2 linked regions of the Caenorhabditis elegans genome follow. The protein of the gene in region 2 purifies or fractionates together with the protein of the main gene of each other region. This does not show direct contact. Each region holds a gene or a part of one and is shown on either strand. Other genes may lie near its edges. The genes, in order: sec-10 and srw-23.

Region 1 (16,287 bases), on a different chromosome or scaffold from region 2:
CGAAGTTTTGCGATTTTGAGCGAAAATGCGGGTTATATCTCTCGAAGGCATTTTTTTTTGTGAAACTTTAGTGAAAAATATCAAGAGTAAAATAAATACCTCAAAATCTAGATGAAAAAAAAAACAAAATGTGAAAAAGAAAAAAAAATTCAATTAAGGAGAGTTGGGTTACTGTAATCAGGACTGAATCCAATTTTTTTTTCGAAAACGAAAACGAAAATAGTTTTTTCGCCAACAATACGATTTTACAAAAAGACGAAAAACATCAAGTTATGTCAATTATAAACGTTTCTTTAAACATTTTGAGCAAATATGAATTTCGAATGTTATTTTCTATAAAAAACTTGAAAAATTATAATTTTTTAAACAAAATTATCTTTTCTATTTCAGAAAATCCCACTTCGAGCATCGGTCTCCACTGATTCTGGATTCGTAATGGTAGGAAGCGCAGACCGAAACGTTTATATCTATTCAACAGAAACGGGTGGAGTGACTTGCAAGCTTCCAACTCCTTATCCTGAACCGTCACATGTAGTTGCTTTCAATCAGAAACAATTCCTGATGACATCTTTAGGACGAGAAGTTATATTATGGGCACCCAGTGAAGAATACACTCAGAATCTTTAAACAAAAAGATGCAAATAGCACATTTCAAATCATTCCCCATTGATCTCGATTCAACATTTTAAAATTACGATATTTATAATTTTTACTCACAAAAACAACAATATGAATGTAACAACAAGTTGAGATTCGAAATGAAGAAAGTTCAATATCAGAAAGAATATCTTGATGACACCATTGCTGCTTCTTCTGGAACCATATAATCCAAGATTTCAGTAATAGTTGATTTCTGCTCTTCGGACATAAATGCGATTAAAAGATCAAAACGACTGAGTTCACTGATGATCATCATTCGTGCGGCGAGATGGGGAATCGTGCGACCAGTTTTCAGATGAAAGTTGAGTGCCTTGAAGATTTGAACAGCATATACATCGTCTAGGAGTTCATCGAATAATTCTGAATATTTATCCATGCTGATATTCTGAAACAAATTTCGATTAATTCTGAAACGTCACAGATTTCCAACTTACTAAGAAATATTCTGCAAGAGGAAGCAAACTTTGGGCTCTTTTCAACATATTCACAGCTCCAACAAAATCTTGATAGTCCTTTGGGTGTGGTGGAAGCTTTGTTATATACTTTGGAACAATATTATCATTCTCTGGTTCTTCAGCGACAATGATCTCCTCGATCTTCTCAATATTGTACGTAAAGTCGATTTTTGTGAATTTTTCATCTGATTGTAGATATTCGTCTCTTTCGATTGACGGAAGATCAATAACTTGCACATTTTTCTTTCCTTTCAGATCATTTGCTTGTCTCTCCATATTTGGATCATTCGAATATTTGAAACAAGTTTTCATATCTCTTTCAGCCAATTCATACAATTCCAGTGCTTTGAAGGCTTGAGCTCTTCTGTAGTAAGCTTTTGCTGCAGTTGAATCCAAATTTAGTGCAGCAGTACAATCGATTTGGGCAAGTAGAGGAAGATCTGCGTTGAGCCCAGCTTGAGCTCGATTACTGAATACAATTGGATCAGGCCAATGTTCAAGACTTTTCGAATAGATTGTCATAGCCTTATGATACTTTTTCTTCTTAAAAGCTTCGTTTCCCTGCTCTTTCAGACGTTGTGCAATTTTTTTTTCTTCGTCCATTTCTGAAACGAAATATTTTATTTCAAAATAAGGTAATTCACAAGTAAGCTCTATCTCCAAGAATACTTTTTATTCATTCAAGACACGAAAAAACCTTTTACAAGTACAGTAACCCATTCATCAGTATTCTGAAATCTTATTAGATTTTTTGGGGTTTTTCGAATAAAAAAACAAAATTTAAAAATTTAAAGAAGAGAAAAAACAATTTTCTTGTTGGTTTTTTGGGTTTTAAAACAATTAATTTCTTGTGTTTTGGGGTCAGCCCTAGCGCAGCCTTTATTTGAAAATTGTTTTCCGTGGTGAGAGCAGAAAGCGTTTTTTTTTTAAATAAAAGCAACATTTCACAATTTGGTAACAACAAATAACAATGCGATGGAATTATCTACCAACTTGGGTAAAAACAGATATTAAAAAAAAAAAGCAAGCATTTTATTTACAAGAATACCCGCAACGGTATTAAGTGTTAGTTTTTATTTAAAAAAATTTCAAGATTAAGTTTAAAAATCCAATCTATCACAAGAAAAAAGCATCTGGATAAGAAATAGACATTCACAAAAATCGAAAAAGGCAATAAATATATTTGAACAACTAAATTTGGAAATTTTTAATAGATCGGAAATCGGTTCGAAGTCGAACAAAATCATGAATCAATTGTCTATCAACATTTTCGAGCAACGAGGAGTGAGCTGTTTCATTAACTTGATCGGGAAGAACGGCGAGCAAATTGGTAAGAGCTTGAAGACTTTCCCATTGTGTCAGTGCATTTTGAACTCTCCATTTTGATACAAGAGTTCGAAGTTCTCCAACATCACAAAGAAGAAGTACAGCACCAGTAGAATTATATGTGAACTGTTGAATATGTGTAAGCATGAATTTGAATAGCCGAGTTGCAAGATCAGATTGAAGTGCTTCCAAATTTTCGCCATCACATCCCAACTCCATTGCAGCAACTTGGTTTGCAAGAAAACGAGATGCCAATTGACATTGTGGGGATACTCGAATATCAATTTGCTGAGAATCCGGACGGAAATCAGTTTTCTTTTGTTCGCTGAACAAGAATTTCACGTATCCTACGATTGAATTCAATTGCCGTTCCAATCCTAAACTCATTTTTGATTCCAAAGAACGCAGAGATTGTTGCCATTTCTTGGCAACAGATGGTTCGACAATTGTTTCTCTGAAATAAAATATATTTATTTGTTTTCTAATAAAAATTAAGCTCACTTGATAATAGGGAAAATGGGATCTTCAAATTGTTTAATCATAAGTAAAATGACACTGGTACATTTTGCAACAACCGAGAAAAAGTAGGCAGGTGGTTCAGTTTTTGATTCTGCAAGAGAAATTCCAGCCAAGCCTGTCTCCACAGCATAATCCAAATGTTCTCCGTAAAGATATTTTAATAGAACGTCTACGATATTTTCCACGTGTCTTGGCAGCTCTTCTTTGTCACATAACTGCAAAAAAGTTGAAATTTCGAATTTATTTTTGCAAAAATGCTAGGTTTTTTATACGTTAAAATTTTGAAAGAAGCTTGGAAAAAAATTCCGAATATTATTTCAAAACTCTCAATTTTTAGGAAATATACTCGGAAACTTGAATATTTTTTGAATATTCCTAAAGAAAAATTAAAACAAAATAATACAGTACCCCACCGTTTTATTGGTTTCTTTTGGAAAAAAAATGGGTTTCTTGGTTTTTTTCGAACCAATACAAATTTTATTGCAAAAATGTTGATTTTTAGTCGGAAAAAGGAAAAATTTTGAATTTTTTCGTTTTTTGGTCGAAAAATTTTTGCTGAAAGCCACAGGTGACACTGAAAATCTCGTAAAAAGCTCAAAACGTTTTTTTTTCTTGAAAACTACAGTAACCCAGCACTAATATTTGAAATTTGGAATTGTTGAAAACTACTTTGAAATATCGAAAAATTCGGCGAGGCGGGTTTCAGACTTGAATTTGTATCAGTTTTTCGTGTTTGACGATATTTTTAAACCTTTTGCAAAAGAATCAAGTACCAAGAATTTATGCAAAATGTTGCAAAAAATCTTGTTACTTCATTATTGCTTTAAAAATTTCCGTTCGACGGTCTCGTCACGTAGGAGAGTACGGTAGATTTAGGTTATAACAAGAGAGCGTTCAAACTTTTTAAAATTTTCTTTCATTTTTTGCAGTTTCAAAACATCAAAATTCGTACCTGATTTGCCCGCCCAAACGCATTTTTGGTTTCTTGAAGAATCGAAATGGCGACATCTTCAGCGACAAAAGTCTCTCCTCCATAAGTTTCCACATTCATTAATCTTGCAGCCACATCTCGTTTCAACTCGTGTAATCCACCTCCAATTTGTTTCTTTACGTGTTTTTTTGATTCATAGAATCTTTGAAGGAGATTCGAACATTGATCATTCAAATATTTCAACTCTTCCGAGCAGTACGTAGCTATGTATCTTTGGAAAATAGAGTCAGTGAGAGTTGATAAAAATGCACTGTCTGGGCTGATATGAAGTTTTTCCAATTCTTTACACATTTTCAAAGTGCTCGAATAGAGATATGCCAAATCACGGAGATAATGTTCTTGATCATCTGTATCTTTACATTCTCTAAGTCTTGCAGTTATTGTTTCTTTCATTCGTCCTGTGAAAATATTCAGAACCAATTTCTGCATAACAGTGTGTGGAGATGGAAATATTGCAGATATTCTTGGTTGTTGAGTTCGACATAATTGCAAGCAATCCGCTAGAATTTCTCCACCATCGCCACGTGGATGAATTGATTGACACAAGAAATCGACGTATCGATCGACGCAACCCGAATAACCTTTGAACTCGCTCAAAATCTTCGCAACTTCTGCCATTTTCTTCTCATCTCGTTGAGATCTGACGAATTCTTCGATTAGCAAGTCTTCGACAACTTTATATCTTTGTCCAATTCTAGCTTGAACATTTGCAAATTTGTCCTTATTGAGTTCCTGAGAAATTGAATAAAGCTTATGCACCAGATCGGCAGATTCGAGAAGCTTATCAGGATCAGTGAAAATCATGGAATTGAGAGGTTGATCTGAGAGGAATTCATCGAAATGTTGCATCAATTGATGAGCATCATGAGCTCGTGAACGTGGTTGATCGACGGATTCAAGTTGATCACCAAGATGAACAACTTTTGTAGAGACTGCTTGCATTGTATGATCTAATTGTTTCATTTTATCAATTGCTTCTCCATTTTTCTCGTGAAGACGGTGAAGTTTTTGTACATAATCCTTCTTTTCCTCGTTCATTTGCTTTTCAAGAGTATTGATTTTGTTCTAAAAATTTCCACTTTTTTTTAATGCGAACAGAAAATTGAAAAATAACCTGAAACTGATCACAAAGCATCTGTAAACTGCCAATTTCTTCCTCGAATCGCATTTTCAAAGAAACCGGATCGTTTATAGTCTGAGCACTTCCGGTCATTCTCCATGCCAGTTTTTCAACAAGATCAATTGCGTCGAACGGTTCCTGTTCTAGATCCTGTACATATGTCACATATTGTCCACCACTCATCTGTAATTATTTGTTCCTAAAGCATGAAAAACCACTTTTGAATATAAAATATACACGACGGCTATAAAGAACCAATTAAATAATCTATTCAAACCTTATCAGTTCTGATAGTTTTATACTAAAGAATAAAATAGAGTAAAGCACATTGAAGTTTGAGCAAATAACAGGGAATTTTTAAATGCAAATGGCATACAGGGAAATAGAAATGATTGACTAGTATTGGCAGAGGGACAAGATTATGCAATATACAGAAACATTTAGGTATTTTGAACAAAAGTTAAATATTTACAATGAGAAATTCTAATTCTATTCAAGCTTAGTTGCTTTCAATTCTTTTTTCTTCTTTTTTTCATCGTCTTCGTCGTCGCTGAAGAAAAGTAATGGAAACATTCCGAGTAAGCATCCGACTGTTAAACCAGCTGCTCTTGCAGCATTCGTTGTGAACCTGGCCTGAAATCATTTTTTTAAATTTAAAGAGTTAAAAATTCTAGAGTGTGAAAAAAGACGATTATTTTTCTCATTTTCGTTCAGTAGTTGAACATTTCTGGTAAAAAAACGTTCAAAAATTTATCGGCAATTTTCAACTTCATTATCAGATAAAACAAATATTTTTCTAAATTCTATCACTAAATTTTATTGAAAAAAATTGAGAAAACATGCCACATTGGCACAATTTGTACCCCTGCTGCATGCAGCAGCTGCAGACTGAATTTATTCGGGCAGAAGTTCAGTGTGAATAAAATTTTTAACACTTTTTATCATTTTTTGAAAAACAATCAATAGATCCTTTTTCACCTTTCCACTGTCCAATTGTTGAGATGTCAAAACAGGATGTTTAATTCCAACTCGTTGCACTGCAACCTCTACATAATGCGCGAGACCAACGCCAGCAATATCCGAGATAAGATTTCCGAGTGCAGCGGCTGCCATAGTTGATATAGCTAGAACGGCCCCGAGTTTTTGATCAATATACTCGCCAGCTAGGATCATAATCATGTTGTCAAGAACACCGAATCCAATAAAAGGAATAGAATTGACTAGAAATATTCCTTTTACTTGCTCTTGAGTAAGTTCTTCTACTTTCCCATCTTCTTTCTTTGTCAAACAATCGTCTAACGCCGATTTCAACATCTGTTGTTCAATGATAGTCAGACGACTTGCAATTTCCATAGCATCATTTGGAGTTTCAATTATCAGTTTATCAAGATGTTTGAAAGCTGCTGTAGTCGATAGACGGATACTTGTGACAGAATGGTTTGTTAGAAGCGTTCGAGAGCTCGCTCTGCCGATCATGGCAAAAGCCAGACGAGCTGGCGAGCTGATCATTTTTTTGCCTTTCGGCAAGCCGTGGTCTGTAATTTAACTTATGAGAAGACCAATAAATTTAACGAATAATACATAATTAATAACGAGTGAGAGGGATTTGACTGGAAAACAACCATTTTCAAAAAAAAGAAAAACATTCAATTTATAAACAGTTTTCATAAATTAAAACAAAAAGGAACTGTGAGCCCATTTTGAAAAAAACACCGAATGAATTGAAAAGAATAAGAAACGACAAAACATCAAATTTCAATGATATCCGCGTCCGCCTCCTCGTCCTCTGCCTCTTCCACGACCTCTTCCTCTCCAATTTTGTCCACTATTGTCTCGTGAAGTGTGTTGTTCGAGAACCTAGAAATGACAGTTGATAAGAGCAATGTTTTAATGACGCCACAATGGCTAGAAAAAGATTGAACACAACAAACCTGCTCCTCGTGAGTTTTTGGACGGTCGAAAGTACTTTTTTGTCGATTTTGGGAATGTTGCCTATCTGAAAATAGTTATTTCAAGAAATTTTCCGCAATTAACAATGAGTAAACTTACCAAAAGTATGTTGTTGTTGTCTGAAAGATTCTTGTTTCACTCCAACCATTTCTTCTGTGCGTCCTCCACGATCTTTTGGAGCATCCATAATTGAAAGTGGATGTTGTTTGCTTTTTGTTCGTTCTCTGAAAATACAATTTCATAGTTTTTACCATACATTTTTATAAAAATACCTTCTATCCATAGATGACGCTTTTTGAATATAGAGCAATGAAGAACTTGCAGAAAGAAGATGAGCTACGTCACTGTTCGCTTTAACTCGTCCAATTTCATCGACACGAGCAGAAAGAATTGATTGAATATTCTCTCTGTGCATCTTGAGGCGATCATTCCATAAAAATGATTCAACTGTGACCTTGAGTCGACTGTTCAGAAGTAGAAGTCGATTGTAAAAATCACGAGAAAACGATTCACACTGTTTTTCAATTTCAGGAAGTGTATTTTCATCAAGAGTCGCTTTGAAAAGTGGATGTCTTTGACTTTGGGAAACGCGTCCATCTGTCTGAAAATAGAATTTGAGAGGGTTTCTTCAATGAATTATTAATACCTTTTGTCTCAAAGTTTCCAAGAGTTTCCATTCATTAGAATTTCCTGCTTGTTTAGGGAAGTTGAGTGTTCGAAGGGCAGAATCAATAAGTGGAGTCAGTTCGAGATCACGTTTTTCGGAGACCTTAATGAATTATTTAGGTCGAAGTGGAGGGACTTGAGACTAAAAAGCAAGAAAAAACAAAGTTAAATAGAAAATATAAAGCAAAAATTTGAGAAAATGTGATTAATGATAAATCCGAGATATTTCCAGTTGTGTTTTGGCAACTTAAATGCAATATTTCAAAAGAAAACTTACAATTTCACCCGATTCAATTCTTTGTCTAGTAATGAGACGAGCAGTTTTGACTTCTGAATCAAGAAAACTTTCAAGAAGCTTCTTTGCTGATGAAGATTGGAAACGTGTTCTAATATCACCGCATGTCAGTTCTTCATGAGGACATTCTGAAAACGAAATAAATTAATTGTATTATCTTCATTCCTTACCTAATTCAAGCAAAAAAGTACTGAGATCATAAAGAAACTCTAGTAAATTATGGTCATTCGGCTGTCGGACGTATTCTTCAATTTCGTACAATTCTCGAATTTCTGCACAATATTGGATAATTTGATTGGCAAAATCGAGAGTTATTCCATCTGACATTCCTGAAAAATTGTCGGGATTTGGCTCAAGAGGGGTATTAGAGAAAATGTGTTCAATGGAGTAAACAACAAATAAGTTTACACTAAATAATCGAATGGAAGGCTGGCACCAGTCACTGAAAACTGACGAAGTGGTGACATCTTATGAAATATTTGACAGCGGATTTTGCTGATATTATTAAAAAAATGTTTAATTAAATGTTACGTTAAAATCATTAATATATGCAAAGAACAAATAAAAACAGGAGAGAAATTGCCGAAAGAACTCAACACTAGAGTTCTCCGAGTGGAGTACATAGGTCGTTCGATAGAGCGCACTTGCGGGAACAGTTTTTGTGTCATTTTTTTATTTCTTCTCATGGAATTCCGATCGGAAGGAATATATTTCCGAAGAATACATTATGATCATCTTTACTGGATTATTTATGTTAAAAAAACCAACTAAAAATCCGAGAATCATTTTATTTTAAGAAATAATTCATCAGAAAAAACGATGAATTAAAAATGGCAAGTGGAAATGTACCCTAGACGAAAAGTTATTGATCTTCACGGAAGTCAAAATAAACAATTTAAATACAGATATGAATATGAACAAGCATGTAGAAAAGTAAGATTATCTATTTACATTAATTTTGAATCGATTGTTAGTGTTTAATCATAAATTTCCATAAGTCGTCGGTATGATTTGCAAATCCAATTGAAAAGATGATTGCAGAAATTGCTGGGAGAACCATAGCCGGAGTTGTTTTTGATCTGTTAAAAGAGTATTTTGTAAGAAGTAGAATTTAAAACAGTTTTTACCTCCATATAGAAAAGAAAACTGAGAAAACCAGTGATGCAAAGACTGCGGCAAACGTGATTGCAAAAAGATTTGTATCATACATTGAGCTGTACTTGAGAACAACATTTAGAAATACTCCAGGAACCATTATATCAAGTGCAGCGAGACTTTGTTTATTTCCTTTTGTGTCTCGAGGTACAAGGATCATGAGAGGAGAACGATTTTCTTTGACTACTGTGCCTGAAAACATCTATATTAAAAAGTAAACAATGTAAAAAATCGCAAAATCGAAAATTTTATTTCAGTCAGTCTCGTAAAACAATTTAAAAAATGTTTAGTACAGTTTATGAACACTTCAATTTTATGTATCGTAACTTCGCGAAATTTTGTCATGTCCGTTTAAAGGCACATGATGTTTTCCGCGTGGGTCTCGTCACGATATCAGGTGCTAATTTTTCAAAGTTGCTAATTTTTATACAGAGACTGAAGTTTATAAAGGCAAACATTCCAGCGTTTTCGTGGACGCAAGACTACGATTCCAGTAACTTACTCAAAAGATCCACCACATAAAGGAAGAAAAGATCAAAAAGCGACATTCCAATGACAAATATAATTGCAGTTTGATAGCTCACAGCTTGAATTCTTGAACACACGACGTAAATCGATGCAAAAGCAAGAATGTCGTTAGAGATCCAATTACCAGAACATTCATGATAAAGTCCAAATGAGAGAGATACAAGAAGAGAAGCGTACATCATTGATTCTTCATGATAATAAAAGTAGAATGCTGTAAAATTATGAGATTAGAGTTTCAGCTTTAAAAATATTAACTTACACATATGCTGACTGAATGATTCCAAAAGAATTATATGAATACATGCAACGGATGCCCAGATAGGCACATGAACAGCAAACAATTCAGCAATTATGTCGAGCAAACTGAACGTTTTTATTTTGAAGTTTTGATAACAATAAAATAATTCAAATTTTTAGTTATTGATTGTATTTCATAAATATATATCCATGAAGCATCCTTTTTCAATTCTTTTTTTGCTCCAAAAGTGGGTATTCGCACAATTTTAAAATGAAATTTCCTGGTGTCTAGAGTTGGCAAAACATTTTGGATTTTTTTAGAATTTATTTTTTCTGCATAATAAAATTTTTGAGAAGTTGTCAGTGTCTGGAATAAAATGAACGTTTTCACATTATGAAATAAAAGTTTCGAAATTACAAGCTGCAAAAACCAATAATTAAGAAAAATGTCCCAATATATTCATCAAATCACGCTCCCAAGCCTGGTTAAGATGTTTTTTTTCAACACCAATTTATAAATATCTTCATTTGCACTTTTTGTTATTAGTTCAATTTTCACTATTTGTTTTGCTCCTTATCAAATAAAAACTCACTCAAGTTGAATGTAAACTCTGGGTCCATCATCACTCCTCGGAAGTAGGCTCAACGCACTTAGTGAATAGGAAAATAGGTCAATCTGAAATAATATGATTTAAATTAAAATTTGATTTAAAAAAACAGAAAACTTACATCTCCGAGTTTTTTATAAATGTCACATTTCTCGGCCGTCGTACCTTCTTCTCCGGTAGTCCATACAATTTGACTTTTATCTGGTGATCCACCCATTGAAGATTTTCTGCTTGATCGTTGACTTGCAGATATCCAATTGCTTGAAGATCCTCTGTGTGTTGTCATAAGATCATGAGTACTTTTTGAGTTAGTACGACTACGAACTTCTGGTGTAACAGATGACGATTCTGAAAAAGTGATATGATTAAAATAATTATAATTAAAAAAAAACAAATTTCCATAAAAATTTAATTTATTGAAGATTTAGTTGCGGTAGTTTTTTTTAAATTACAGAGTTGATTGTCAATTCCACTTTTCGAGATAAAATATTTTTTCAAAAATATATATTTCGGATGTCAATATTATTTCCCTTTTTTAAAATTCTGAAGAGTTTTGAAAGCACTTGTATTGGTGGAATAATACCTGGTGGAATAATAATTTTACTGCCATCTTCTGCACTTTCTACTACAAATCTCGATTTTGTTAACTTTCTTGGAGGAGGTGTATCTTGTCCACTTTCATTATCATCCACATATTTCGGTGCAATATCTTCTTCCTCCATTCGTTGACGATGGCTTCGAACTGTATTTTCGATGTCTGCTTCTTCAATATCTGATAGCAATCCTAGAAAAATAACAATTATATATATATACGAATCAAATTTATAAGTAGGTCATTAAAGGAAATTTCGAGCTCACTTGAAATTACTATCTACTAGATTTCTCTCACTGTAGAATGAACTTTTCTGAACACAAATGTGTATAATTTCGAAATAAATGAGAGAAATTTGATATGATAGGACGATAAATTTATCAGTTTCCTTCAATTTTGATAATCTTACTTCGAATTCTTTGCTGTTGCTCTGCCTGTTCATCTCCTAATGAAACGGAAGCACGCCTGCTGATCTCACGGGAAACCTTTCGAGAGTTGAATGAAGAGGATGTCTGAAACAATTTTCTGTTAAAGAAGAAACAAACAATCACATCATGAAATGAATCGATTAATCAATCAAATCAAGGGGAATTACGCTGAACTGGTTGATTTTGATTACCAGACCGAGTTTAATTGACAAGAATGACAGTCTCAAGAAGTTTTCGAAAGATATTTTCAACAATTGAAAGGGAATTAGAGCGAAAAATTAACTATTTTACATAAAACTAGTGATTGTATTTTTTAAATTTTGAATTAAATCAGCATTTTCCTAGTAGAATCACCTTGAGTTCTTTTTCAGCTTCTCTAGCAATTTCTCTGTCTCGTTCGATATTGGCGCTTCTTTTAGTTCCCAAATATACAAAATACAAGACTATAGAGAAAACGAATGGGAGAATCATTGCAGGAACCTGATCCATGAATATTACAGTTGTTGAATCGAGCTGCAATTTTTTAAAATTAATTTAAAGAAATATATTTTATTAAAAACTAACCTCGAAAAAGTAAATTGTAGATGCCCTTCGACAGGAGTGATAAAGTACAATCCATGAAAGAATTAAAATGCTCGCCGATGCGGCAATCTTTGCCACGTCGTCTCGCATTTTTGGTGGCGAATCCTGAGCTTTTTTTGAATCAGTACACATACTTTTTCTTTCTGGGAATAGCACGTGCTAACTGTGAGACGATACGAAAACAAAAATGGCAAGAGACGAAGAGAAATCAAGTAGAACCGTACTATATAAAGACCTGTTTATCCTTTGCCATACGAAACAAAAAAGAAACGTGCGTTGCTGCCGGTGGGACGACACATAAAGAGAAATAAAGAATGTGTGGGAAAATCAATCTTCTACTGCTGGCCGGTGACCAACATTTTTAAAGAGCACCACAAACACGTGCTGCTCTCTAGTTCTCCAAGCAGTTGTTTACACATTCGAAAACGCTCTCACAGAGCAAAAAGTCGCACAAAATAAGGTCTCCCTGGATTTCCCCGTTCACAAATTACCGAAATATTACTTTTATTTTCCGACAACAGTTTATAAAATGGATGAAAGTTCACGATTTTAGGTTACAAAAAGAGGAACAAAATAAAAAAAGACAGAACAGTGAAAGGTAATAATGGTAAAATTCGGTTAAACAACAAAGAAATTAAATTTAGTGAAAACTTTTTTAAATCATTGATTCGAGATTCTTCGGAGGAATTAGGGTTGCAAATTGATGTTGTGGAGAAGATACTGTATGGTCTTGGATCTTCCACAATTTAGTGCGGAGAAGCAGAACGGCTGCGAGAACGGCTTCGAGAGCGGGAGCGACTCTTCGAGTGAGAACGATCACGTTCTTGAGGAGATCGAGATCTGAAATTTCTCATTTAAATTTAAATAACTATATCCAAAACTCTTACCTTGAACGAGTACGTTCTCTTTCGCGACTGCGTTCACGACTGCGATCTCTGCTTCGGTCACGACTGCGATCACGGCTTCTGTCGCGGCTGCGATCACGTCCACGATCACGAGAGCGTGAACGGGAACGTCCACGGTCTCCTCGGTATGGCGATCTGAAATAAACAATGTTAAAACATTCCGAATATTGCATATTTGTCGAATACATCTTTCCTGCAGATGGCAGCATAAAGAAAGGTAGATGTAACTTTCTTACTGAATGGGAAGATTCAGCCGACGAAGGCATGATGAGACGATTTTGTCAGAAGCTCGATTCAGGAACTACTGCGGAGAATTAACTGATGAAAAGAGTCAAAAACAATTCTGGTGCGATGATTTTGGGAGAAGTAAAGGGCGCGTAGCGATGTGGAAGAGAAGAATGTGTCGTGAAGACAGAAGACGGAGAGGAGTGGAAGATAGTGATGTTTGGGATGGCAGATGGGGACGCGGACGAGCGGAGTCCGCTAAAATTAAAAATTTGGTCCACGGTTTTACCGAATAAAATTTTTAATACAGCTCTCTTTTCCTTTAACTATCAAATTATTTTCAACTAACCTGTCTCTTCCGCCACCACCTCGGCCGCCGAAACCTCCACCACGACCGCCACCGCCACGTCTTTGTCCAGTTGAAAGTTCAACACGAGCACGGACACCACAGATTCTTCTATAATTTTGAAGCATTAAACGAATATCCAAAGCAAACAACTTACGATCCGTCAAGAGCGCGGACAGCATCTTCAGCGTCACGAACGTCGTCGTATTCCACGAACGCAAATCCAGGAGGGCGACGAGCTACCCAAACCTTACGGATCCTTCCAAATCGATCAAAAATCTCTTCGAGCTGAAAAATGTATATTTACATAATTACTGTTAATGGCTCAAGATTGAACTCACTTCTTGTGATGTTGCATCACTCGGCAGACCGCCGACGTACACCTTGGCGTCCATACTGAAAAATCAAATTAATTTATGAAGTTGCAAAAGAACGAAGTTTGAATATTCAAAAAATAATTATTGAGAAACAAAAATAAGTGTGAAACGGAGATAGCTCGAGAGCAACGCGCGCGAAATGATTTCAATAAACGCGACGCAGCTGCTCGCGATGCGTGTAGTACGGTAACACTTGTTTCAGCTGTGCAGATTTCCTAATGTCGGGGTGAGATAACGGCGCGAATTCGAACGAAAATTTCAGTTGCAATTAATCTTTTTGATAAATGCATTTTATAAATAAGCCGAATTTGTTGCACTGTATAACGGATACATGTATTAATACAGAAATTGTGCAATAAAAAGTAAACTCGAATGCATCACATTTACACTTAATTTTTTAAAGCATGCCTTGTTGCATGTTTCCACTAAAATATGTTTTATAAAAAAACCGAAATGATAACTATCTTCTGAAAATATACATACAAATGTGAAAGTAGAATTGTGCTGAATTTATTTCTAAGTAGAAATAGCAAAACCAGTCAAAGTTTCAATTGATTTTTATATATCAATTGCAAATTTATGAACCAGATTATCAAATTAAAATTATTTGCTCAAACACAAAAAACATAGACAAGCCATTAAACCAGCTAAGCAACACATTTCGCCTCCTCCTCCCCCGTGCTCCCGTTCACGATGATGATGATGGTGATGGCAGTCGTCAACTCTGAAAGAAATAAGTCAATATTATTAATTTTTCGCGAAATATCGAATAGAACTCACATGACAGTTTGAGGCTGTTGATAATATACTGCATATGCTGGTTGAACGCCTTGTCCGATGGGAACACCGGGTTGTACTGTGTAGACACCTTGTGGAGGTTGTGGATATGCGTTATAAGCCTTGAATCATTTTCGGTTTAGTTTTTTTCAAAGATCGAACTCACTTGATTGTAAGGTGGCGGTGGTGGTGGTGCGCCGCTCATTGTCAAATACTGAAAATATAGTGATAAGAGAATGACGATTCAAAGACGACGAGTTTATAAAATACTCCTTTTCCTTATTTGCCTTTCGCTGATTCATCTAGAAGTGAAGTGACGAAACTTAGTTATCATTTTAATCGGGTTGAATATAAAGTAAAAGACCAGTCACACCTTTTTATTGCATTTGACATGAAAATAATGATAAATTATAATTGTTATAAGTTAAATCATGCTCTACACATTTAGAAAATCCGGTTTAGAATCGGTTCGCAGAAAATTATATTTTTTGTACGTAGATTCAGATTGAAGTTGGCGATATAAAGCAACTGCCAGTACAATGATAAGAATGACAAAAAATGAGAAGAAATTTGATATTTGTTGGGTAGATTGCGCAACTTCAAGTTGTTCTAGTAGGTTGAATTTGAGATCCTTTGAGTGATAAAGCATTGCTCCTAGAGCCCATTGCATTTCTTCACCGGCTATTTTCAGAACACTCTGAAAATATTTATCTTGAATGTAAGATGTGTCTTTAAAAATTCATACCTGAAACAAATGCTTGGTTTTATCCACATTAAAACCGTCATGAAGTACACTGGTCACCCAAGCAGCTTTGAAACAGTTTGTTCCAAGTCGTTCAATGTCAGCGTTGGGAAATTCATTTCTTTTGAATCCATCTTGAATATCATTCCAATCTTTTTGGCAGTATTTTCGAACTTCGTCCGTAAATTTTTGATAATGATATTCGCCACCAGATCCGAAATTGCTTGTCGTATACCAGTATTCTGAGAAGCCATACAATTGAACAGTTGATAGGTTAACTGATGGAGCAATCACGTTACGTAGGAAACATGTTGGGTTTGGACAAGAAGGTTGAGCTTTATCACCGATTAAAGATGATACTTGTGCAAGACAAACGTCCCATTCTCCGGTACCCTGTAAATTTGAATAAATTTGAAAAAATAGTAGTTTCTAAACTTACATTAACTGTGAACTCTCCAATTAACCTGTTAAGACCTCTGGGAGAGCACGAATCATTTGAATTTCCAGATTTAACAAGCGAATTTTCATACTTTTTCAGGCCTTCATTTGCTCCATAACCAAGGAATGTGGTAGAATAAATCTTATACTTGTAGTCCTCATTGGTTTCAATCGATCCTAAATTGATCTCATACACATTTCCGCCGTTGTACGATTCCTTTTCATTTGCAATTTCAAATGCTATTTGAACGCTTGCACCGCCCATATCAATCATTCCAACTTTTGAATCATTCTCTTTATCAAATCTGCCTGAAACACAAAAATATATAAATAATGTTTTAAAATTTCGAAAATATGTTTTATTC
Region 2 (14,939 bases):
GGAAGAGTTGATAAGAATATTAGTTCAATTGAAGGTGAAGTGGGGCCAGTGGAGAGAATGTTGACAATTACTCATATAGTGCAAAAATTCCTGTCACCTTAAAGTTTTTTAAAGTTTTTTTTTTTTTGAAATTACATCCAAACGGTGACAAAAAAAGACACGAATAAATTTTCACGGAAGCGATGATACACGAAGCAACCACTCGGTTCCAAAGAAATTAATCTTCTGTTTAAAGCACAACGTCAAGGATTATATTAAGAGAATTAACTTTTCTTATCACCACTCCTTCCACAAAGACAATTATTCATTTAATTTTGAGTTTTTGTTTGCAAAAAGTGTAATAATGTCCGATATTGACGAGATTCAAGAGCTTCAAGAACCATCTCAACCAAAAACTCAACCTTATTCCGAAAAATTTAAACTTTTCATGACAAATCATTGGAAAAATATATTGATTGGAGGATTAGCTGAAATCATAATAATCGTTTTTGCTTTTATGTTGACCTTTATTTTGGCGAAACAACCAGCATGTGAAACAGGTATTTAAATAGTTAAACTACAATAATATTTTTGCTTGTTTGTTAGGTATAGTAACGACTTCTATATTCCACACTAGTACTCTACCCAGCACATTGACATATGCCTCTTCTTCTTATTCTACAAAACCTGACAAGAGTTCTATTGCAACAAGTACTACCTTAAAACCGAAAACTTTGCCTGTTACGACAACATCAAATTCACTCTCAACACATACAAAACTTGGTGAGAGATACATAAATATTCCATTATTAATAAAATGAATTCAGACACAACATCAATTTCCGCAACTTTCGCTACTATGCCCACCCCGGGTAAGATTTTGGGTTTTATCAGTTACTCTAAAAAGACTTTACAAATTATTTTCCAGTTTCGGGAAATCTCACTTGCGCTTCTGGTTTTACTTACGTCGGCAACAAGTGCTGGAAGTTGGTCACTGTTCAGAAGAATAGAGCAGATGCCGACCAGGCTTGCTTCAGTCTAGGTGGATCCACACTTTTCTCGATCAGAAACGACCAGGTACGGAACACTCACAAGAATTTCCGTTTTTTAAATATTTTGAACAGGATAATCAAGCTGTGCTGGAATTTTTGAAAGATCAGCACGTTGAGAACCTTTGGACCGGATTAAACTGCGTCGGGATAAACCCGTTTACGTGTACCTGGGATGTCAAAAGCGGAACCACCTCCGCCTACAATAACTTTGCCGATGGTAGTGCTCAGAATTGTTGGAATATTCACAGAATGATTTTTAGGTTATCCGAATAACATGGCTGGAGGTTGCATTTATTACAAGACTACTGGAACGCAAGCCGGGCAATGGTCAAGTGGATCGTGTAATGAGATTATGAGTTTTGTGTGCGAGCTACCAGCAACCATTTACGGTGAGAATTAGAGAAATTACAAATTACACGTTTGATTTCAGATAGCACCTGCAAATACAACTACAACAACTATTGTTACACCCCATACGATCAGCTGCAAATCTCCAGCGATGCGCAGAGCATCTGCGCATCATCGGGTTCCAATTTGGCCACAATTCATTCTGCAAATGAAAACCGCTTTTTCATGGGCATCTTTCCTTCGTTTTCAATGATTGCACTTGGCGGAGTTGCTTTGTCAGGCGACAAGGTCATATGGTATGATGGAACACCTTCAACTTACACAAATATAAGAACGCTTACACGAGGGAACTGTATTCTGCTCTCAAATGATGTCGGACGCTGGGATGGTTACAAATGCATGATTGACAGAGCAAAGTTCATTTGCAAACGAAGAATTATAGGAAAATAATTAATATATTTGTTCAATAAATGTTTCACACAATACCCTATCATCTTGAAAAAAGTAGATAAATTTTTTAGGGGTTTCCCAAATAATAAATATATTAATTTATTCAAAATTAATTGTTAATTTTAACAACACAACAACCGTTTATTTTTTGCCGGATGCACCAATTTAGATTGGCGAGTGCGGCAATCCAAAAATTTTTTTGAAATATCCGGAAATTCGGACCCACCCTCGGTTCAGACCGAGGTCATGTGCCGTATTTGACTCATAAGCTGTAGTAAGTAATCCATGCCATCGTGTTCTCTTATCAATGTGCTCTTTCACTCGTACTATTAATTAAGTATTCATTTCAAAAAAATAAGCTTATTAATTTCATGATTTATTGTGATAATCATCATAGTCAGAAAATTCAAAATGGTTCAGTTTTAAGTTAATATTCGTTATCGAAAACCAATCACTGTGCATAATCAATTCCAATGGGCCATTTACACAGAAACCATGATTTATCAGTGCATTCGACAGTTTCCCAGAAATCACCACTGCCTCCCCATGAAAAATTCAAAAACAGACAAGTTCCATTCGTATAATATAGAATATTATTATATGTCGCTGGTGATCCATCCATCCAATATATGACGTTGTAGTTTGGAACCACTGCACCCAGTGGAATATATCCACTCACGTAGTATAAAGTTTGAACATAACGATTTTCATTGGCCGAATTGATTGAAACAAGGTTGCCGCCGTGCTTTGTTTTGCAAAACTCCTGAGCATCAGCAATGGTGGACGACTTATCGTAGCGTACGTAACAATTATTGTTATAATTGTTATCGCAATTATCATCTTCAATGAAGCAACTTGTATAAATAATCCGAGCTAGAAGCCTTACCATGAATAGTTGGAGGTAGTTCACACACATAACTCATTGTCTGATTGCATGCGCTACTTTTCCAGTGTCCAGCTTCTGTTCCATTTGCGATGAAGTAAACGCAGTCCCCAATGGTCTTGTTGGGAAAGCCTGGAAATTAATTCTCTCTCAATCTCTCTGTCCTCACTTTTCCTCACCTTTTGCGAAGTTGTCATAGTTTGCCGCGGACCCACTCTTCAGATCCCAAGTACACGAAGAAGAAGTATTTGCATTACAAATCAACCCGGTCCAAATGTAGGCAACCCCACTGTTTGACACAAAATCAAGAGTTGCATTATTTTCCTTTAATTATTTTTACTCAATAGTATCAAGAAAACATGTATACCTGCTCATTCCTAATTGAGAAAAGTGTGGAACCTCCTTCTCTCATACAATCGAAATCAGCATTGTCTCGTGTCTGTAGACTAGTGACTAATCGCCAACATTTGCCATTGATGTAGTTGAAGCCAAAGGTGCAGCCAACGTTGTTGGAAGGTGCTGTGATGGTTAAGTTTGAATCCATGATTTTCCAGTTAAATTTAATAGAATTGGCAAAATTCGTAGAATTATAGCCGGCACTTTATACTCTACGTATAATAAAATAACCTTACCAGGTGTGGTGGTAGTGGTCAGGGGTCTGATTGTAGTCGAAGCGGTAGATGTCTCTGAAATTGAATATTCTATAATAATACATGTAAAACTGTGCTCAGTGGCTGTTAAAAGGGGGTTTTGAAAAATCGTTCAAGTGAATGAAGTAACCTTACCAGGTTTAATGGATCTTGACACCGTTCTAGTTGTAGATGAAATCTCTGAAAGTAGATACTTTACGGATTAATATACTCCATTAATACATATAGGTGAAGCTAAAGAAGCAGCCTATGTTGCTAGGGGGTGCTAATATACAGATTTTTTGGAATAACGACGGTCATTGTATGCTTAGTGATACGATAACCTTACTAGATATGGTGGAAGTTGAGAGTGGTTTGGTTGTAGTCGAAGCGATAGATGTCGCTGAAACTACATGTTCTACGGGTAGAGCTTCACCAATTTCAAATAAAACTTTAAAAATCAGTTGGTGCAACCGCTAGAATTACTTTCGTCCCATGAACGAGGTATCCTTACCCGCTGTGCTGGAGGTTGACAACAGTTTGGTTGAAGATGAAGCTTCTGAAAGTTGATACTTTACTGGTAGGGCTGGCAAAAATCAAAAGAATCTGGTAAATATCATCACTAAATCGGAAAAATTGAAAACCAAACCACATATTACGATCACAAAATACCGCTCCTGATCGTAGTAAACTTACCATTTGTGCTGAAAGTTGTCATCGGTATGTTTGTAGTCGAACTTGATAAAGCCTCTGAAAGTAAATGTTCGGAAGACACGGGATCAAAAAAGGTTCCTGTTTCGAATAACAGATCATACCTGAATTAGTTGAGTCACTTGTCAAGCTGAACACATTACTTCTTTGAAAATCAGAGCTTGTTATTTTATCTGGAAACCAAAAATTTATGGAAATTCACAAAGGTGTTGCCTACCTGCTGCACAAGCTGCATGATGCGTCGTAAAATATGTTAACAGAACAACTCCAGTTATAATAACAATTTCAGTGATTACTCCGATAAGTATAATCAACCAATGAAGTCTCAGAAACTGAATCCATTTTTCTGGCACTAAATGTGAAGCCGACATAGATCGAAAAGTTTTTGAAGAGACTGAAACAATCGGAACAATTGATAAGGAAATTAATTCACTTAAAACAATAATCCAGTGCGTATTAATGATGACTTTTTCTGCAAAGAATATATGAGTGCGTTTCTACAAATTGATAAATGTAATTTCAGACCAAAAACTTCCGGTTGTCTACAATGATATTCACAAGAAGGGACTCAAGTTGCTAGTCCAGCGAAAAAACATCAATAAATTCATTCAAGTACACGAAAAAATCCCAGGTGCAACTGACATATGAACACAAGTGGAATTATAGAAAAACTTCAAGTGGGTAAAATTCGCCAATGTACCATAAAACCAGTGAATCAAGTCGGGGCCAGTGCAGGCGCATCGATCAATATTCTACCTATAAAATCGTAGATAGTCATGATGAAGCGGACTTCATTTGCCGAGTGGATGGAGACCAGGTTCGCACATTTCTCAAGGCAGAAGTTCTGGGCCTGTGGGACTGTGAGATTCAAGTCAAAGCGGAGATAACATGATTTCCCTACCATCTTCAGAAAATTTTAACTACTTTGCAACGTGACCGGAAGCTCGTAAACAAAGTTCATAGGCTGAACGAAAAGCATATCCAATTTTTTATTATTGGAGGTTTGTATAACTGGTAAAACAAATAAATGGGTTAGAGGACGAACACTTATTGAGTAAACACCTTTTCATAGACAATTGCTCAGTCTTGACTTATATTGTTCTTGCCTCATATGTCTGCATTCAAACATGAACTCTGAATTTCAATTGTTCTTACTTCAATTATTTCAATTTTATCTTCTCAGGCTTATTGGAACCGATAAAAATTTTCATTTTCTGAACTTCCAGTAATCAAAAACGCTTTAGGCATATATTTATTTACAATTGACGTACTCAAAACAGATACGAGCTGATTCAACAAAATTGAACAGTGTAGGAAGCACTTGGCTGGCATGTGAACGTGGAACTCGCGTCGTCGTAAGCGTAGGAGTACGCTGTCGGGCACGCATTCTTGAAAAGCTGAGCAAGTGCAGAACGGGTACACGTTCTTGGATTGTTGTATTCATTACGACAGCATTCTCGATCTGACTGGTATTTGAGGCATGCAGATTTACAAGCGACAACTCTTCCATCGCGTCCTCTCACAATAAGATCGCCTGGGCAATTGGCGTTCATATCTGTGACACATCCTCCAGCACGGTGACATCCAGATACACCATGTGGTTGGATAAAAACTGGAATATTATATCCATCGACCATTGACACATCATAAAAGTCTTGTCCCGCACGGCCGTTCAATGTGAATTCAGCAAGGGAAGCTGGTGGGACACCTCCAGCTCCGTTACACTGTTCTGAGTTCTACAAATTAAAGAAAATAATAGCAAATGTTTCAAACAACTCACTCCACAGAATCCTGTCTCGCAGTTGAAGTTTGCATCACATCCGGTTCTAGCCCATATTCTTCCAGCTGTCCATGAATCGCTCACAGTGATATCTCTGGAATGTTCAGAGTGAAGCGTGAAGCCTCCTCCGGCCGGGTTTCCGGGCCCTTGAATTCCAGGCCAAATGGTGAATGGGCACCTGTTGTAGATAGTGATCTTGCGGGTTTCAGCGCCAAGAGCCAGAAGAGAGACAGCGAAAATGAGTTGTGCGAGAGCCATTTCTCCTACAGATGATCAAACGAATAGTTATCTGTTTCTGCGAGTGCCTGCTCAGTTTTAAATGCTGGAAAAAGGGGGAGGAGAGCAAGGATTTGTTTTGTTTGTCAAGTACTACTATTAGTGGTACAAAACATTAACAAGAAAATATTAGCTGAGCGTAACGAACAATGCTGGTGGAGGTCGTACTCATAGAGAGAACGAAAAAAGGTTTGGAAGAAAAATCCGTAAAAGAACAATTTCAGAATGTTGATATTTTCTTTCTTGCGGTAAGAATTTAGCAGCCCAGATTCCCAGTGGCCCAACGGACAATTGATTGGCAAACAAAGAGCAGCAAGGCTGGTCAGTTGCCAAAAGGTGGATGGAAACTTTATTATAATCTGATTTTGTTGTTGCTCCGGTGTAGTTTGAGCTATATACAAAAAAATTACTTTTTTCATTTTTCATACTGTATCTTTGTTTCAGTTATTCGTAAAAACCTTATAGGGTTCGGGACATTGCTTTGTATTTCCTCAAAAGCTTTTTTTTTCAACATTTTGACAATTTACCAAAACGTAGACCGGAAATTATGAAAATTCTAAAAAAGTTGGGAGTGTTTTAATATAATAATATTTGTTCATTTTTGACCATTATAACTGTATTTAGACAAAGCCCCCACTGGCGCTACTTCACCTTTCTACTCTTATTTAACTGATTAAAGGTTTTTGTTATGTTTTGGTAGTTTTCTGAAATGAATAATTGACATTTCCCTCGTCTTTTTGAAACAATATCCAGTTGAATCAGCACCTTGATACAGTATTTCTCGCCAACCTGTGCATCTTTTTCATTAAAAAGTTCTCTATCTTCTGTGTTTCCAAAAATCGTGCTCTATCAGATTTATCACATTCTTCTTATATCAGTTCCAAGTAACTTTATGATTTATTTTGAAGTACTCTGAAACAAAGTGTTCAATTTTAATGATCTTGTCACACTTGAAAGTTTCTGCACTATTGGTTTTGTGACATTTCTCTGTGTAGTACAAGTGGCAAGTGAATAGAACACTTCTGACCTGGAACACTAAACTGTATGGTTTTACAATAAAACACTTGCTAATACTAACTAACTATATCTCTCCAAATAGTTTTCTGAGTTTATCTGTTTCTTGATCATCGTTGCTAAGCCTAACTTACAACACTTGACCTTTGTTTCCAGAACCTTTTTCTCCGCCCACTTCTCAAGAACTTAACTTGTGTGGGAAACCATTTTAACCACATTCTTTCCTGGAAATGATCCTTCGCCATTTGACTCTTCTTATCCTTTTTCTGGTACTCCAAGCTGTAGGTTGTCTTGCGCAATATCGATTATTTTCCAGAAATTTCAGAATTCACAGCATTTCCATCACGGTGCAGCGAGTGGTGGTGTGACATCAAATGGTTATGGAGGTCAAGCCGTCAGCAACAATGATGGATGTAGGAGTGCTGATGGGAAGGATTTGTCAAGCGCTATACGGAAAATAGTTATCATCGGCTTAGATCTGGTATTACCCTAGTTATATCGTTTGTAAATATTATCAAGTTTTTGATAAAAAATTGAAGCACCTTTCTGAATATTACTTGATTTTCTGATAACTACCTATTTCACCTGAAAAACAACCTAATAATTATGTGCCTACTCACTTTATTTCTGCTCAAATGGGTTTTCAGCTGTATTCGGGTAATTGTGGCAAATTAAAGGTAAGAGAGAAAGTGGCATACGCGATTCTAGATTACGCTTATTGCAATTTTTTTGGCATTTTCGCAAATTTCGTTAAAAACATTCGGTCAAGCTGATAAATTTCGCCCAAAAAAACAAAAAAAAATTGTTTCAAATTTGGACAAAAAAAAACAAGTTTTTTTTTATAATATCATAACTTTTCATAATTTTTCATAACATAAATCAACTAAAACATAACAGTTTTCAAAAACTATGTTTTTAAATGTTTTTTGGTCCGAAAAAAAAACCAAAAAATCCATATTTGCCAAAAACACCAAAAAAAGCCAAAAAATCAATTTTTGCCAAACCACCAAAAAACCCAAAAAATACCCAAAAATGTCATTTTTGCCAAAGACACCAAAAAAAAAACAAAAAAAAAACAACAGCCCTCGTGGGCATCTTCTCGTTTTCGCTTTCTAGAAAAGTTCATTCCCAGTCATTTTCTCAAAAATGGTAAAAATCGGAACCCCAACCAATATCAGTCGCTGACATCTCACGGGTTCCGCACCTGACTATGTTTACCCCACTCAACTCTATAGGTAAACATAGTGGAACGAGGAACCCGTGAGATGTCGGCGACAGATGTTGGTTTGGGATCTTTTTTCAGAATTTTTTACTTTTGCTTTTGATTTCAAAATACCCAAAAAATATACATATATCTTTTAAATTTGAAAATTTCAGTTCTCTCTCGTTAGATCCTTATGGGTTCCTCTCGGTTTGATCCTCATGTGTTTCATAAATCTTCGCTTTTTCGAATGTGCTCTAAATGCTCCATTTCTTAAATCTTTCCAATCTCGAACCTACAACTTTTCAGGGCCGATGCTCATACCCTTACCACCCGTCAATGTTTCAACGGCAAATCCCAATGACTACTATGGGTTTGTCTACAATGAGTACGAGTATGACTTTCCAACTGAAACCCCCACATTGAAACATAATATCCAATACGGAATTCTCGATTCGAACGTTTTTATTGGAATCCTTGCAATTATCCTGTGCCTCGTTCATTTAATGATTCTATTGAGGAAATCATTGAGGACAAGCGGAGTTTATGTGTTTATGATTGCTATTTGTGTTTCGGATATTCTGAATTTCTCGCTTGCGTATCCAAAAGATGCAATATACTATAAACACAGCTGGTTCCCAGTACCAATTCACAATAATAATGGAGACGAATGCGTTAAATATGGATGGATAGAAGTTGATCTAGTCGCCCAGGCAATGGAACTTGCACATAATGTCACTAGAAGATTATCTATCTGGTTGGCAATGGTGATGGCATCGTTAAGAACGTTGGCAGTGGCTTTTCCAATGAATAATCAGATTCAGAAGCTCGTGAAGCCGGGAAAGGCAGTTAGCATGGCTATTATTTTGCTCATTGTGTTAATCTCCTATGACATGTTACTTTTGAAATCGAGGATGAGCTTCTATTGGCTTCCCGACGATACTCGGTATGTTTGGTTCTTCTAGAGGACCTTCTATGTTCACCTGTTTAGGCTTAAGCTTAGGCTTAGGCTATTCTTAGGCTTAGGCTTAGGCTTAGACGTAGGCCCTTTTTACATAATACTCCCAGGTGTATACTGAAACCAAGACTCCAACGCTATGTGCTAGTAATGCCAGCAAACGACGATGCATATTCAATAAGCGAAGATCAGAAATCCGTTGAAAAGATTTTCCGTGTCTTTCAAATAATTCTGTACCCACTACTTACAATTTCACTGGTTATTCAACTGAGAATAATCAAGAAAAAGAGGAAATCAATGCGGCAGAACGAGAAGTCGGATAATACTACGTTATTAATTCTTGTGATGACAATTACCTTCATGTTCTCGGAAGGATTAATTGTGGTATTCAGTCTCCTTGACATTAAGGGGAAATTTAGGCACGACATCTTGGATCGATTATACATATTTGAGAAAGACGAAATGTGAGCTTTTAAATTAGTTTGAATTACCACGCAAACAGCGGCGCTGGCCAATCAGGGAATAGTGTGGTCAACGTTGTTAATTGGTTGTAGGCAGAACATGCGAATATTGGTTGCTGTCTGCTACACTCTACGACTCTTCAACTCAATGTCCCATATTCTCGTTTGTGTATTAATGTCTTCACAGTATCGGGACACTGTGAAATCGCTTGTTCTCTGGAAAACAATTTCCAGGTTTTTGAAAGATCGAATTTTGAAGGGAAAAGCCATAAGTGACACAATGTATCCGGCGTCTGTTGCTGAGAAACTCCATTGATTGAGAAATAGGTAAATAATGAGAAAATTTATCATCTGTTTGCGCAATGACGTTCCATGCCAAAAAAAAAATTAAATTAACTGCTACCTGGATGATTATAACAGGATTGCAGTTGCGTAACTAAGAAATGTCTCAAGTGTGGATTTAGAAATTACCCATGTAAAGGAGTAGAAACTGTGTACATATGTATATGCCTTTTCCAAACGTCCACTCATCTCGACCGCAACTTCCTGCCCAAACTAAAGTGGCGTTTCAACTATTTACTCATTTTGAAACAGTTTAACAGACATTTTATCAAAGATAAAGTATAACACAAAACGTGTATACATATTTGCTTAATCTTCCTCATCTTTATCTACTATAAATACACCTACATGTTTTTCGAACCTCCATATTTTCTACTCTTAACATAACTACAGTGATGGACAGGGCTTTTCACTCGAATGTTACCACTATTAACTGCAATAACATTATTTGGAAGAATCGAAGCGAACGGGATAATAGTGTTATCAACAGCAAGGTTGGTTCACAATATTCGTATTCCTCTTATTTCTTTTTTTTTTCAGAAAATTGTCTTAAGCCGAGCTGAGGTTGATAAACGACGAATTGAATCAACTTTCGCTCAAGCTAATGAAGAACATAACTTGCACATGAGTCGTATGATGGAATTAGCAAGGGTAGAAGTTTGATCACTTTAGAAAAAAAATTGAAAGGAATAATTTACAGAATATCGCCCAGAAGAAATGATTTTGGAACCGAACTTTACATTCGAAATTTCATAAATGCTATTGATTCTTATCCGTTTAGACTAATTGCCGTTACTGGTGTATTATGTGCATTGAATGTGTTTAATTTATAGTAAAAAAGATCCAGTTCATCACACAAATTATTTATTTTATCGGAAATTGCAAGAAGTCGTGGACATTTTTACCAGAAAAAAAATAAATTCAATTAAAGGTGGAGTAGCGCCAGTGGGGAAATTGTTAGAAACTACTCCAATGGTGGCAAAATGACCGAATAGCATAATTAAAATTTTAGAAAATTTTTTATTCACTGTGAAAAAAGTGGCACTTACCCAGTTTTTGCTAGTCATAATTTTGGAAGTCGATCAAAAAGAAAGAAGTTTTTCAACATTTTTTTATACTTCAATTTTGTTTTAATTATTTGTATCAAAACATTGTAGTGGCCGGAACATGCGACATTGCTTTGGATTTCCTCAAAAGCTCTTTTTTTTTCAAAATTTTGTCATTTGGTCAAAACTTGGCAATTATGAAAAATCTGAATTTTTGGAGTGTTTTATTATGATACCAGCTCAGCTTTCCAGATGTTTTCAAAGCAATATGAATATTATATGACTAAGTGTTCAAGAGTTACAACTTAAAAAAAAACTCTAGTTTCCTAGAACTACTTCTGAATTTCATGAACGTTTCTAGATATTCTTCATGTCATATGATCATATGAAACTTTTTCACGTTCCTTCCGAAAGTTTTTGGCAAACGTCATTTTTTCACATTTTTAAGTTCATGGCATTTATACAACTTTTGATCTTTTTAAAAAATTCTAGAAATTTCAGAAAATTTTAGAACGCTCCACGAACTTCTAGACTTTTCCAGAAGATCATTCCAGAGTTTTGTTGAATTTTTAGAAAGTTCTGGAACATTTCAGACAATTCTTGAATTTTCTATAGCGATTTAGAACATTCCAGAATTTTCCCGCTTTTTCTAGAAAGTTCTGGAACGTTCCGGAGTTTTCCCGATTTTTTTTAGAATTTTCTGGAACATTGAAGACTTTCCCCGATTTTTCTAGAAAGTTCTGGAACATTCCAGAATTTTCTCGATTTTTCTAGAAAGTTCTGGAACGTTCCAGAATTTTTTCGAAATTTCCAGAATTTTAGAATTTTAGAAAGTTTGAATTTCCCACCAAAATATTTTTTTCAGAAAATTTAAATTTCCCACCAAAATATTTTTTTCAGAACATTTGAATTTCCCGCCAAATTTTTTTCACTAAAAATTTGAATTTCCCGCCAAAATTTTTTCACTAAAAATTTTAATTTCCCGCCAAAATTTTTTCACTAAAAATTTGAATTTCCCGCCAAAATATTTTTCACTAAAAATTTGAATTTCCCGCCAATTTTTTTCACTAAAATTTGAATTTCCCGCCAAAATTTTTTCACTAAAAATTTGAATTTCCCGCCAAAATATTTTTCACTAAAAATTTTAATTTCCCGCCAAAATATTTTTCACTAAAAATTTGAATTTCCCGCCAAAATATTTTTTACTGAAAATTTGAATTTCCCACCAAAATATTTTTCACTAAAAATTTGAATTTCCCGCCAAAAGATTTTTCACAAAAAATTCGAATTTCCCGCCAAAATATTTTTCACAAAAATTTGAATTTCCCGCCATAATTTTTTCTCAAAAAATTTGAACTTCCCGCCAAAATAATTTTCTCAGAAAATTTGAATTTCCCGCCAAATTTTTTTCACTAAAAATTTGAATTTCCCGCCAAAATATTTTTCACTAAAAATTTGAATTTCCCGCCAAAATGTTTTCACTAAAAATTTGAATTTCCCGCCAAAATTTTTTCACTAAAAATTTGAATTTCCCGCCAAAATATTTTTCACTAAAAATTTTAATTTCCCGCCAAAATATTTTTCTCAAAAAATTTGAATTCCCCGCCAAAAAAAAATTTTCTCAGAAAATTTGAATCACCACGAACATTTTTGAATTTTCTCGAATTTTCCAGAAGGTTCTTGAACATTCCAGAATTTTCTCGAGCTTTCCAGACGATTCTATAAAGAACATTTCTCGAATTTTCTAATTTACCTTCAAAAGACAAAAAGTCAATTTTTTCCTAAACTACAGTAATCTTACAGTACTCCTACAGTACTACTACAGTACCCCGACCATATCCCACTACTAACCCCAAATCTATATCTCTTCAAAAGACAAAAACACAATTTTTCCTAAATTACAGTAGTCCTACCGTACTCCTACAGTACCTCTACAGTACTACTACAGTACCCCGACCATATCCTATCACTAACCTCAAACCAATATCCCTTCAAAAAGCGAAAAGTCAATTTTTCCCAAACTACAGTAATCCTACAGTACTCCTACAGTACCTCTACAGTACTACTACAGTACCCCGACCACATCTTTCCACTAACCCCAAACCAATATTCCTCCAACAGCCTAAAACGCCTCGCCTCTGTAAGCTGTGACGTCACAGACTACAAAGACTACATAGGCTACAAACTATGGACAAACGGAATAAGCGCTTTATTAATAGTAAATGATGATGATTCAACATAAGTGTATTTAGACAAAATCCCCATTGGCGCTGCTCCACATTCGGGGAAATTGAGCACTTCATTTTCTCTCAGTAGCTGCTCCATTTTGATGTAGCAACTGTAAAATTATGTTTTTCTTTCGCATTTGGGTTTTTGATACAAACTTTGTCAAGTATAGCATTCTGCGCATCTTGTTGTTTTCTTTGTTCAGCCAACATTTCATCCAGTCTGGCAATATGTTGACGATCGGCTTCAGATCTCTTCTCAACGCTGATCACCTAAATTATTTGATGAAGGATAAGATTTTCTGTAAAACGCTGTTAAAAAAACTAAAGTTTAGTGAGCAGCCGACAGCTGGCGAGGCCACATTTTACTTTACATCTGATAACTAAACAGAAAATTATAAATGCAATTAAACACTATTCAATAAATTTTTTTTTTGTAAACCTTGAAAAATCAAGAATTCTAAGCGGTCCTATCGAAAGCATGCACACTGTACCTGTTGATTACTGTATTTTCGATTATTTTCAAATTGTCTACTATCAATAATGACGTTGTTTGAATTTATAGTATTTGTTTCTTTAAAACGGAAAAATCCTCCTGATGATCTTTGCTCTCGGCCATCAGATGATGAGTGCGGACTCTGCAAGAATATAAAACACATTTAAAACTGGAATGAATAAATTACTGGTCTTTCCCTGTTGTTCCGCTTTTTATGACTTTCAAATGCGTCATTTGCTTCTGAACTCTCGTGCTTTATATCACTGTTAACATCTGAGAATGGATTGGCTCCAAAGGTAGTTGATCGATCAGAAGGATTTGATGTCGGAAAATGCTGAAACGTCAATAATTTAAAAATTGGCACAAATTTTTTAGTTAAAGCTGGAGATTAGTCTGTGAGAAAATGATTTTGAAAAAGCGGGGAAAATTCACTTTTCACCTATTTTTTGGAAATTTCGATAAAAAATTGTATTTCTAGTTTTACGTTTATATTATTCATACGTCACAATTGTCATGGTCGAACATGTGGCTGTGCTAAGTATTTTTTTAAGTGATGCTAACCCAGTTTTTCCCACATTTTGAATCAAATGTGACAGATGTTCTACCTGTGTCGTCCTCTGACGCTTGTTGTCAATAGTTGTATTGTTGGAATTGATAGTAGTCTTTGAATCATAGCTGAAATGCACAGATGGATTTCCACGTGGTTCGGATCTAGACGTATAAACATTCTGAAAAAAGAAACGTTAAATAATTGCGTCTATGCAGCATACTGAATACCTCAATCCGGGAACTATTGCCACCTGGAATGTTGTTGGAGTTCGCAATTGTTTCCACACGGATATCGTGGCTAATATTCATGGTTGGAGGCACTTGTTCATTGGATTCGTCAAAATGTGTAGAGCCCATGCTCTGAAAATAAGCAGTTTAACGAATGAGGATGCCAATGGCCGTTGGGAAAAAAAGAACAAAGCTGAGGAAGAAAGGTAAAAAGAACTTCGACGAAATGTTTGTTTGGAACAAACATAACAAATAAAGTTGATTACGAAATTTGTTAATTTCAATACTTCCAGAGCTCAGAGCTTTTTCAA

Evidence for each region.
Region 1: the proteins of srw-23 (region 2) and sec-10 fractionate together in Caenorhabditis elegans (co-fractionation; one large-scale study listed by BioGRID). This does not show direct contact.

The regions. Positions count from the first base shown.
Region 1 is NC_003282.8:7,777,246-7,793,532, forward strand, and holds sec-10 (Exocyst complex component 5), read right to left. Parts: upstream 5,255-16,287; coding exon 5,066-5,254; intron 5,017-5,065; coding exon 3,913-5,016; intron 3,176-3,912; coding exon 2,943-3,175; intron 2,896-2,942; coding exon 2,307-2,895; 3' UTR 2,136-2,306; downstream 1-2,135. Other genes in the region: swd-2.1 (Anaphase-promoting complex subunit 4-like WD40 domain-containing protein), read left to right, coding at 391-627; rpap-3 (RNA polymerase II-associated protein 3), read right to left, coding at 776-1,045, 1,095-1,718; tag-321 (Transmembrane protein 65), read right to left, coding at 5,561-5,704, 6,050-6,580; tag-322 (uncharacterized protein), read right to left, coding at 6,827-6,928, 7,003-7,067, 7,121-7,245, 7,294-7,622, 7,668-7,790, 7,965-8,110, 8,153-8,309; imp-3 (IntraMembrane Protease (IMPAS) family), read right to left, coding at 8,953-9,061, 9,110-9,329, 9,640-9,876, 9,925-10,028, 10,496-10,578, 10,632-10,858, 11,094-11,294, 11,512-11,614 and 2 more; rsp-6 (putative splicing factor, arginine/serine-rich 6), read right to left, coding at 12,859-12,952, 13,000-13,152, 13,592-13,699, 13,746-13,876, 13,930-13,983; C33H5.13 (CYSTM domain-containing protein), read right to left, coding at 14,569-14,689, 14,746-14,864, 14,909-14,947; Nucleoside-triphosphatase ntp-1, read right to left, coding at 15,179-15,439, 15,488-15,877, 15,924-16,231. UniProt on the Caenorhabditis elegans protein: Component of the exocyst complex involved in the docking of exocytic vesicles with fusion sites on the plasma membrane.
Region 2 is NC_003283.11:16,865,398-16,880,336, forward strand, and holds srw-23 (G-protein coupled receptors family 1 profile domain-containing protein), read left to right. Parts: upstream 1-8,544; coding exon 8,545-9,269; intron 9,270-9,391; coding exon 9,392-9,745; intron 9,746-9,835; coding exon 9,836-10,058; downstream 10,059-14,939. Other genes in the region: clec-28 (C-type lectin domain-containing protein), read left to right, coding at 344-539, 586-762, 807-851, 908-1,056, 1,104-1,248, 1,292-1,420, 1,462-1,829; clec-33 (C-type lectin domain-containing protein), read right to left, coding at 2,281-2,669, 2,716-2,844, 2,892-3,036, 3,080-3,231, 3,345-3,398, 3,498-3,542, 3,856-3,900, 4,038-4,091 and 2 more; thn-4 (THaumatiN family), read right to left, coding at 5,345-5,788, 5,833-6,090; F49A5.10 (uncharacterized protein), read left to right, coding at 10,480-10,578, 10,625-10,747; F09C6.3 (uncharacterized protein), read right to left, coding at 13,430-13,468, 13,515-13,628, 13,850-13,993, 14,039-14,185, 14,457-14,579, 14,629-14,757.